Canis lupus familiaris: one gene and its partner. The protein of the gene in region 1 purifies or fractionates together with the protein of each later gene. This does not show direct contact. Links are inferred from orthologs where the notes say so. Each region holds a gene or a part of one and is shown in the gene's direction. Other genes may lie near its edges.

Region 1 (5,020 bases):
TCCAACCTTCCTGCTCTCAGCCCTAGCACCCCCACGTCCTCCCAGGTCCTGTGGGGCCTCCATGTTGTACAACCAGAGGGCTGGGGCTTGAGGAAGGCTGGCTGGGTACCTCTTTTCAGCCTGCAGGTGGCAGAGGTTCCATGGGCCCTGCTCACCAGCTCCTTCACTTGAGTGAGGTAGCCAAGTGAGCTTCCCCAGCCTTCAACTGTCCTCAGCCTTGGTGGCCTGAAAGGGGTGGCCACACAGGTGGTTAGTGCAGTTCAAGGCAGCATGGGTGCCCAGCATACCCGGACCCTGACAATGTCTTCCCTTTTGGCTGGGGTGGCTGCAGTGGCCCCTACAAGGTTGACATGGGTCCTGTCCCGGCCATGAGTGGTGCTCTCTAGCTAGGAAGCCTGCCAGGACTTTCTCAGGTGTGTGCCCTTTGTCTGTCTCACTCCATCCTTGGCCCTTCCCTCTCCCTCTCTGCTGACTCCTTTCCCTCGTTGAGCAAACCTCTCCTGCCCTAAATCTCCTCTCCTGGTGGGGGAACCCAGTGGCAGTGCTCCCTGTCTTCAACACCTCTCTCTCTCTTTTTAAAAATATTTTATTTATTTGTTCATAAGAGACACAGAGAGAGGCAGAGACACAGGCAGAGGGAGAAGCAGGCTCCTCGCAGGGAGCCCAATGTGGGACTTGATCCCTGGACTCCAGGATCATGCCCTGGGCCGAAGGCAGATGCTCAACTGCTGAGCCACCCAGGCGTCCCAGCACCTCTCCTTGCTTATTCCTTCCTGAAACTTCTCTCTGCCTGGCCACCTGAATGCCCTACCTCTGGCCTGCCCTAACCTGTCCCAGAACAGCCCTCAATTGTCCCAGTGGGCTACACTTCTGGGCTTTACCCTTTAGGTGTGGAGTGTTGTGGTTCCAACCTTGCATCCTTGACCCCTCTGTCTGCCTATCCCTCTCGTATTGTCTGTTAACTGTTCCCCTCTCACCTCTCCGGGGCCCTCATCATCTCTGGCTTCCCCCCGCCCCCTGAGGGGCAGTGGCTGCTTCTATTGGAGTTCTCCTACATGGTCCTCCTGGTGTGGCCAGAACAGCTTGGGAAAGCATTGTCTGATGGCTCTCTGCTGCTCTGGCGAGGCTGTCTGAGAACAGTCTCTGGCAGCCCAGGCCCTATGTGACAGGCACAGTCCTGTCCCAGCCGTACCCAACTTCTCGGGAACTTGGACTTGCTTTCCGTCTGCTAGCAGGTGTCTTTCCTTTCACCTTGACCCTGATATCTGGGCAACTTTGTTTCACTTTCAAGGTCACTGCCTCCAGAATGCCTCTCTGCTCCCACCCGGACACAGACCGTGCTCTCCATCGAAGGCTTTGTCGCATTTAAGTGCCTCCTCACTAGTCTCCACCTTGGCACCTGCTGCCTAGCAGACACTCAGTAAACATTTGCAGAGGGCCCTGGGCCCCACTGAGGTCCTGCCTGGGGTGAGAGCAGACGACGCAGATGCAGGTACATCCCCAGCCAGGCAGGAGATGGTTCAGGATCTGGGTGCATGGACGTTTGCCCAGGGGCCTGGGCAGGGTCATAGGGAAGGCTGTGTTCTGATCTGGGGGCAAATGCCTTTTGGGTACCCTGGACCCTCCTGCCTCAGCAGCCGAGATGAGGGCCTGATCCCCCTTTGGAGGGAGATCTGATTCCCGGTGCATGAAGAGGTCACGCTGTGCCAGGAGAGCAGGAGACCTGGGCTTCCAGTGCCGACGCTGCCAGTGACTCACTGTGTGACCTTGGAAAGAAAGATCTTCCCAGGTCAGGGCCTCAGTGTCCCCTCCTTTTGTACAGTGGGCAGGCTGGGCCAGTGCTGGGTCTGCAACCCCTGTGACTTGCAGCTCTTGTTGTGGGCACAGGAGGGCAGCCAAGAGCTGTGGAGCACAGAGGAAGGGACCGACAGTTTTAGGGAAACTGCTCTTTCCGGAGCCCAAAGCTGGGTGGGGGGCTCTCATTTCTGACCAGTTTGACAGTCTGCCAGACTGGAAGTTCCAGGGCACCTTGAAACCGGCACTACAAGGAATCGGATTTCCCAGCTGCAGCCTCTGAGCTCTGCCAGCAGTGGGAGGCCAATGGCCTGCGTCTCTCCCTCCGCAGTGGTCCTTCGCTGTTGCGACCATCACAGAGATCCCCCCTGTCATCTTCCTCCCGAACTTCCTTGTGCAGAGGAAGGTGCTGAAGCCCCTTCGGACCCAAACAGGAGGAACCATCATGGTAGGTGGGGAGGCTGGCAGAAGGACCTGCTGGGCTTGGGACCCCCACACCTCTGGGCTTCCCCCCCTCCCCAGCTCTCCGTCTGGAATACGCTCCTCCCTCTTGGTAATTGCATAAAATCCTAAATAGTCCTCCAGGCACAGCAACAAGGACTTTTTCTCCCAAAGCCTCTCCCACGTGCTCTGCTGCCTTGGGGACACTGAATTCCTTGTTCCTCCGCCCACCCCCCATCTCCTATTGGAGTTACCGTATTTGCTGGTATATAAAGACATGTCCCTATGCCCCAGAGAGTATATAATCAAACTGGCACCAATATACTCAACTCAAGGTGGAAAAGCAAACCCCCATGACTTCAGTGATGGGTCATGCTCTGCTCACCTGGCATCATGGGTATGGCAGTAAAGAGCACTCGCAGCAAAATGAGGTTTCACATCCCCTATGTAGTTGTCTGTAAAACACAGAAAGAAAGGCAGAGACACAGGCAGAGGGAGAAGCAAGTTCCCTGTGGGGAGCCCAATGTGAGACTCGATCCCTGGACCCCGGGATCATGCCCTGGGCCAAAGGCAGACGCTCAACCACTGAGCCACCCAGGCATCCCAACATTTCAGCTTTAAATGTAGGATGATCTAACCCAGGGCTGGATCAAGACCTGTTGATCCTGATAGTTTTCTTTCTAGCTTTGCAAATTTGTACTTTTTTGTTTATTTCTTGAGGTATTACTGCCCACCCCCAAATGATGATTTCTTACAGGATTTTGGTATTCAGGCTGCCATATTTCCATGGGAAAAAAAAAAAAGTCTATTTTCCCTTTGAAGGCCCTGTTAAGATCATTGTCAGCTCACATGTGATCATAACCACTTTGATTTCTTCCAGTTTCTTTGCATAATTGCAAAGGGGCTGATGTACTGCACATCTCATATGCCAGCCAACCCGGTACTTACTTCCAAGCCTGAGTCCGAGCTTGCTGGAGGGTGGGTACCGCCTGAACCCTACCTTATAGGTCAGCCCTACGTCCCACTGACTGGACCTAGTGTCTATGGAATGAAGGAGCGAATCCGTGAATGAGTGAGTGAGGGAAACAGTTGCCTGTGCCTCTCACCCTGTGCTTGTCTCCAAAGGCAGGGAAGCTGGCCATGGAGCGAGGCTGGGCCATCAATGTGGGTGAGTGCCCTGGCCAGCCTGGCCTGCTGGGTCCTGGGGGCTGGGAGGGCCAGGTAGCTGCTCTGTGAGGCAAGGCTCTGGTGCCTCCAGAGCCACCCTGAACCTCCTTATTAAGTGGGATGGGGGACAGTATGCAGCCATCTGGTGTCTGGGAGGGATCAACCAGTGCCTCCATCTGGTGTGGAATCCTTCTCTAAAGGAGTTCCCCAGCTCTGCCTTTGCATACTTCCAGTGACAAGGAGCTCACTCCTCTGCAAAAGCCTGCATCATCGCCTGGGCAGACCTGAATGGGGCTCAAACCTGCAGCATTTCAGTCTTTTCTGAAAAATCTCCCATCAGCCTCCTGGGGCCCAGGACCACCCGCAGGGGTTTGGTCACATGATGGGCAGACAGGCCTGGGTCAATACCATGTCCTCCTCGGGGACCTGAAGGCTGATAGTCTGAGGTTCCCCGGACTCCCCTGCAAGCCTGGCTCATGGGATGGCAACACACATCTTCCTTGTCCCTTATCTGTCCCTCACTGAGGCGCAGCACTTCACAGTTAGCACACCTCTTTGCTGTCTGGCCTCTCATCTGAGCTGGGCATCATTGTTGTTGATCCCACTGTACTGACGAGGACACAGCTATGGGGAGCAGCCTGGTGGCTTGCTCAGAGTCTGGAGCAGAGGACCCCTACTTTGCCTGTGAGCTCTGCAAGGCCAGGGGCTGGGGCTTTTCCAAGTTGGCATCGCCAGGTACCCAGCCTTGGGTCTGGCATAACTGTGATGTTATCATAGACTGCTGAACAGATGAATGAAAGAGGCACACTCTGCACGTCTACAGCAGGGTCCTCACGAAGACCCCGGGAAGCCCTTCTCCTGTGGAAGGTGTTGTGACCTGACAGTTAAGAGCCCAGGCCCGGATCCAGCCTGGGTTTGAATCTTGGCTCAAGAGGGCTCTCGTTAGTGAGCTGTGTGATCCCAGGCGAGGTGCTGAGTTTCTGTGTGCCTCAGTTTCTTCATCTGTAAAATGGAGATGATGGTACTAGTGCCCCTACTTGGAGCTGTAGGGAGGTTTCTATAAGTTCTGTGCCCAGTCTGGGAGTTCACAATTGGCTGTTATCTCATTATTAAGATCTGTTGACAACCTGTTGGTGTGAAAAGAGACGAGTCCTTTGTAGCCATGGGTCCTGGATTCGAACTGCTGGGTGGGACAGTTGTTGGGCTCAGTTTCAGAGGCCCCTGAAACTCGAGTTCTTTTTGTAGGGGTTGCGGGGCAATGGGCTCTCAGGGTGGGGTAGAAGCAGGGGCCGGATCCTGGTGTCCAGGGCCTCCCCATTGCCATGAGTGCCCATGACCAACAGAAGGTGCCCCTCCTGGCCATCACTTTCTACCACCTGCAGAATGTGGGTGATCCCAGGGTAAACGGGCCCCCATAGCCCCACCACCCCTTCCAGGCATGGGAAGTCACATAGAGGTGGCCTGGCCCTACAGAGGCAAGGAACAACTTTTTGCCTTGGGCCCCTCGGGGTTGTGACGGGTAGTGGGGGGGGAGTGACTTGTCAGGACCACCCTGAGAGGTTTCGTACTCTGGGCAGGGATAGCCTTGATGACAAAGCTGTCTTCATGACTCGGGGTT
Region 2 (5,020 bases), on another chromosome or scaffold:
TTAATTGAAGTTCAATTTGCCCACATATAGCATAACACCCAGTGCTCATCTATGGGATAGTTTTTAATTATCATGTGACAGAGGTGTTACTGGCATGTAGTGCTCTGGAGGCAAGAAATGATAAATGTCTCACAGAGTACAGGACAGTTCACAGTGAAGAATTGTCCCTCCTCAAAAGCTCATTTTAGAAACCCTGAAAGTTGAAGATTTGTCCTGTGAAAAACTTTTTTTCTTCTGGAGAAGAAAAGATGAAGGAATGCGAGAAGTCTGTGGATTGGTTTGTGGACCCAGGAATGCAGTTATTTTTTGTTCCAACAGTGTAACTATTAGAATGATCCAATAGTGGAAAATATCTCTCTTGAGTTGTTGCAGATACTGCATGTTACACATGGGGCATGATATTAACCTGTATTCCTTAAATAAGATGATGTATGTGAAAATTATTTAACTTATAAATCTGCATGTTTTTATTGTAAAGCAATATGCTAACTTTATTCATTCCACATGTGGCGGGCATCTGCTTTGAGCTAGGTGTTGGGTATAGACAGGACAGGATAATAACTCTTCTCTTGAACTTTTCCTTCTTTATTGTAGCTTGAGAGAGGATTAGTTTTATTTAGTATTAGTATTTTACTAGTGAGTCTATTGCCTATGATTTATTAAGCCCCACCAAGTCATTTGCAGATGAATCACTTCCAGTATTTCTGCTTTTGTATTCATACACTTGAGTATTTGAACCTAAGTGTATCATCTTAACCCTGGTTTTACATTAAAATTTCCTAGACGGCTATTAAAACATAGTGCTGCTCAGCCCCACCTCAGATCAACTGAATCTGAATCTCTGGGATGAGGAGCTTGGGTACCAGTAGATTATCAAGCTTCCTAGGTGACTCTAATGTGTAATGAGGAGTCAAGAAATGCTCATGTAACCTGTCGTGAAGGTTTGAGTCTTGAGTCTAGGTTATATTTAGCTGTTCCTCCCAGCTTTAAAGACATGTCTTTTTATCTTAGTCCACATCACATTAAGATCATTAAACCAGGAACACAAACTATGGAGCCTTCTAGTAGATCCCTGCAGTGCTTCATAATCAACATATTTGGGGGGGTGGGGGGTAATTATTCAACTAGTTAAAAATCAAGTGCACTATGTGATTTTCCCCACACATTTTAATGTAATTCACAATGAAAACATGCATCTGTTAAATGCTTTGGGAAAATGAAGAAACATCTGATCTGCATCATTTCCCTGATACTAATCTATAAATTAGTACTAGTCCATAAAAAGTAAATCACTTGATTCAATATTCCTTGTTCCTTTTTTTTTTTTTTTTTTTTTTTTTAAGATTTCATTTGTTTATTTGAGAGAGAGCACACATACTGGTATGGCGACAGGGAGAGGGAAAAGAAGAGAATCTCAAGTAGACTCTGCACTGAGCACAGAGCCCCACGCAGGCTCAATCCCAGAACCCTGAGATCATGACCTGAGCCAAAAACAAGAGTTGGACATTTAGCCATTTGAGCCACCAAGGCGTCCCTGATATTCCTTGTTCTTAGTGAATATATTTTGATTTTTAGTCATCACCTGTTACTGTTTCATAATTTAAGAACTTGTTTTCCTTAGCACCAATGTCAAGCATATTGGTCAGTAATTTCTATATTCTCTTTTTCCAAAAGTTGGAACATTTCCACATCTCCAAGCATAGGACATCTTTTTTTGTTTTGGTTATTTTTCAAAGAATTTGGAACAGTTTGTGGTAAAGTTTAGAACATTTTACTTGAGCCTTGGTCGTTTGACATCCCTAATTAACATTGTGAAGTGCTTGAAATAGTGAAAATTTCCTTTACCATTTTGTTTACCTTAGTATTTTGCTTAAATACTAGAAAGTTTTTCCAGAAAGTAAAGATAAATTTCAGCTTAGATCATACATGAAGAAACTTGTTTTGAATTGGAATAATACACGTTAATGTGGTTTATATGCTATAAAATAAAACCTAGAAGCACCTGGGTGACTCAGTTGGTTAAGCTGCCTTTGGCTTAGGTCATGATCCCAGAGTTCTGGGATCGAGGCCAGCATCAAACTCCCTTCTCAGCAGAGAACCTGCTTCTCCCTGCTGCTCCCCCTGCATTTGTGTGAGTGCGTGCTCTGTCAAATAAATAAAATCTTAAAAAAAAAAACAAAAAAAAAAAAAACTAAAACATGGGTCTATTAAAAGACAGCATTTAAATATTTTTCACCTGATAAATGAATCTGATTATTTTCTTTATAATTTTTGTAACTTCTCATTTATTCATGTGGAAATCACCACAGGATCTTGATTTAGCTGTGTGCTGGTTTTAGTCTCTTTCTCACTTCCTGTATGCCTGGATACCACAAGGAGAGGAGAAGGGCATAATACAGCATTCTTTGTGCATCAGATTGGCCTGTACCCCATCATTCGAACCTCTGCAGGTCTCACAGACTAACCAACTCTATGCTCAGCTCTATCCCGCTTCCCAACCCTCATAATCTGAGAGCTTCTAGAAATGAGAAATAGTCTTCAGCAAAAAGTCAGCAACAACATCTGATGAGTAAGAGAGCTAGAAGATACATTGAAGTGGTATCGTTATATTTTCTGATACTTCTAGATTAGGTTCGTTTTCTAATTTACATTAAATCTCTATAAAAGTAATCTTATTGATGTAGGTTTTGAGTTCTACAGTTACATTAATACCAGAATTGGAAAAAATTGAAAAGACACTGCCTTTTTATTTTCTTTAAATACAAGGAATATGTATTTCTGTTGGTGTTTGTTTTTCATTGTCTTCCTCTTTGTTTCTTTTAGTAAATATCCCTGATTCAGCTTTTATTCAGGAAGCTCGCAGAAAACGTGAATTGGCCAGGGCCCAAAATGACTTTATCTCTTTGGATGTAAAACATACCTCTACCATTGCTGAGATGAAGAAAAATAGTAATGAAGATCCTGAGAGTGAGCCTGATGACCATGAAAGGAGAATACCATTTACCCTAAAGCCTCAAACCCTTAGACAAAGAATGGCTGAAGAAACAAGTACATACTTAATTTATTTACAATATATAAACATTGAGGGATTTTTCACCCAAATATAATATTATGTTAAAATTTTCCATAAAAACAGAATGTAGTATCTCATACTTTAAAAGATGTTAGAAGTTGGTTTTTATTTAATACAAATTTGGTAAATGACATCATAGTCTCTAAAAGATCTATTAAGATGTTATTATCAAATAATGTGTAATAACATTATTATCTGACCTTGATCTTTTTTGGTAAGTTAAAAAAAATTGTACAGTGTCTTATTTTTGATATTGAAAACTTTCATTGTCACCTTTATAAAGATTTTTTTTTAACATGGAAGCATCTATAGGGATTTTAGATGTTATTTATTAAGCTCTCCCCTGCTCTGATGAAAAATTTCCTCTACCAATAATCCTTAGATCTAATAGGACTATTTTCACATTCGTTATTTATAAACAATTACATGTTTTATCAAAATTTTTATCATTTTGAATAATATTTTTTCAGAATGAGACTTTTGGTTTCCTCATAACCCAGAAATTAATTTTCAATATTTAGATTCTAGGATAGAATTTATAATTCCTAATGAGGATTATCAAATGTTTCATTTTTTTTCTAAGTTTTTCCCCCCCATATATGAAACTGCAGTGTTTTCATTGGGACGGTTTGTTGATGAGTACAGGTGCCCAAATTCAAATCCCAGCTTCAGCACATTTTCCAGACAAGTTATTTAATCTCTTGATAGGAGTTTCCTCATTAAAAGAAAGAAAAGGCTGTTAGTAGTGCTTTCTTCCCAGAATTACTGTGAAGAATAAGTTAACACATATAAAGCTGCTAAGCCAGTGCATTATAAGCCCTTCAAAAATGTTAGCTGATGCTAATAGAATGGAAAAATATAGACTACTCATGAATTTTTTTTTTTCCTAGCACCCAGAAATGAAGAAACAAGTGAAGAAAGTCAGGAAGATGAAAATCAAGATATTTGGGAACAGCAGCAAATGAGGAAAGCAGTTAAAATTACAGAGGTAGTAATTTTTTATACCATATATATTAATTTTCTGTGGCTGCTGTAACAAATTATCACAAACTTGGTGGCTTAAAACAAGAGACATTTATTCTCTTACAGTTGTAGAGGCTAGAAGTTTGAAAACAAGGTGTTAGCAGGGCTGTGCTCCCTCTGAAGGCCCTAGAGGAGAATCCTTTCTTGCCTTCCAACTGTCACTCCAGGTGTTCCTTACTTTGTGACTATATAACCCCTGTCTCTATCTCCCTCTTTATATGGCCACCTTTCCTGTACCTCTGTATTCTATTTTATAAGAATATTTTTCATTGGATTTATGGCCCACTTGGATAATCCAGGATATTCTCATCTTGAGATATTCCACTTAATTACGACCAGAAGGACCCTTTTTCCAAATAAGGTGATATTCACAGATTCTGGGGGTTAGAACATAGACTTGTTTTTTGTGAGGCCACCATTCAACTTATTATACCTTATATATTATGTTCTCTTCCTACTAAATGTTAAATATCTTCTACATATTATAGGCCACTTGAGGGGACTATATTTTTTTAATTTTATAGTAATTGTAACATACGGTAGGTATGTAAATGTGAAGTGTTTAAACAAATAAATAGATTTAAAACGAAACTAATAAAAATAATACTGTTGTTGAGGTCAGGAGTCCTAGATTTGGATTCTGGCTCTACCACTAAAATATATGCTCCATGAGGTCAAGAATTATTATTAACTGTTCAGTGTTTTATCCCTCTGTGCCTAATACTATGAGTGCTCAGTAAATACTTGTGCAACTTTGTGCAAATTATTTAGCCCTTTTTTTTAAAGATTTATTTATTTATTTTCGCAAGCACACATGCCCAAGTGGGGGGAGGGTGCGGAGTTGGAAAGGGAGAGGGAGAGAATCTCAAGCAGATTCCACATTTAGCATGGAACCCAACATGGGACTTGATCTCACAACTCAGA

Evidence for each region. Proteins that work in one complex are often made in the same cells at the same time.
Region 2: the proteins of HDAC11 (region 1) and GCFC2 purify together in Homo sapiens (co-immunoprecipitation; 3 studies listed by BioGRID and IntAct, counting the BioPlex papers as one, with this or other methods). This does not show direct contact. The link is inferred for Canis lupus familiaris from reciprocal best matches to the Homo sapiens genes HDAC11 and GCFC2.

What each region holds. Positions count from the first base shown.
Region 1 is NC_049241.1:3,834,455-3,839,474, forward strand, and holds part of HDAC11 (histone deacetylase 11), read left to right. Parts: intron 1-1,291; exon of another isoform or gene 1,292-1,486; coding exon of another isoform or gene 1,487-1,492; intron 1,493-2,064; coding exon of another isoform or gene 2,065-2,125; coding exon 2,126-2,242; intron 2,243-3,360; coding exon of another isoform or gene 3,361-3,403; intron 3,404-5,020. UniProt on the Homo sapiens protein: Responsible for the deacetylation of lysine residues on the N-terminal part of the core histones (H2A, H2B, H3 and H4).
Region 2 is NC_049238.1:48,140,802-48,145,821, forward strand, and holds part of GCFC2 (intron Large complex component GCFC2), read left to right. Parts: intron 1-2,823; coding exon 2,824-3,048; intron 3,049-3,963; coding exon 3,964-4,061; intron 4,062-5,020.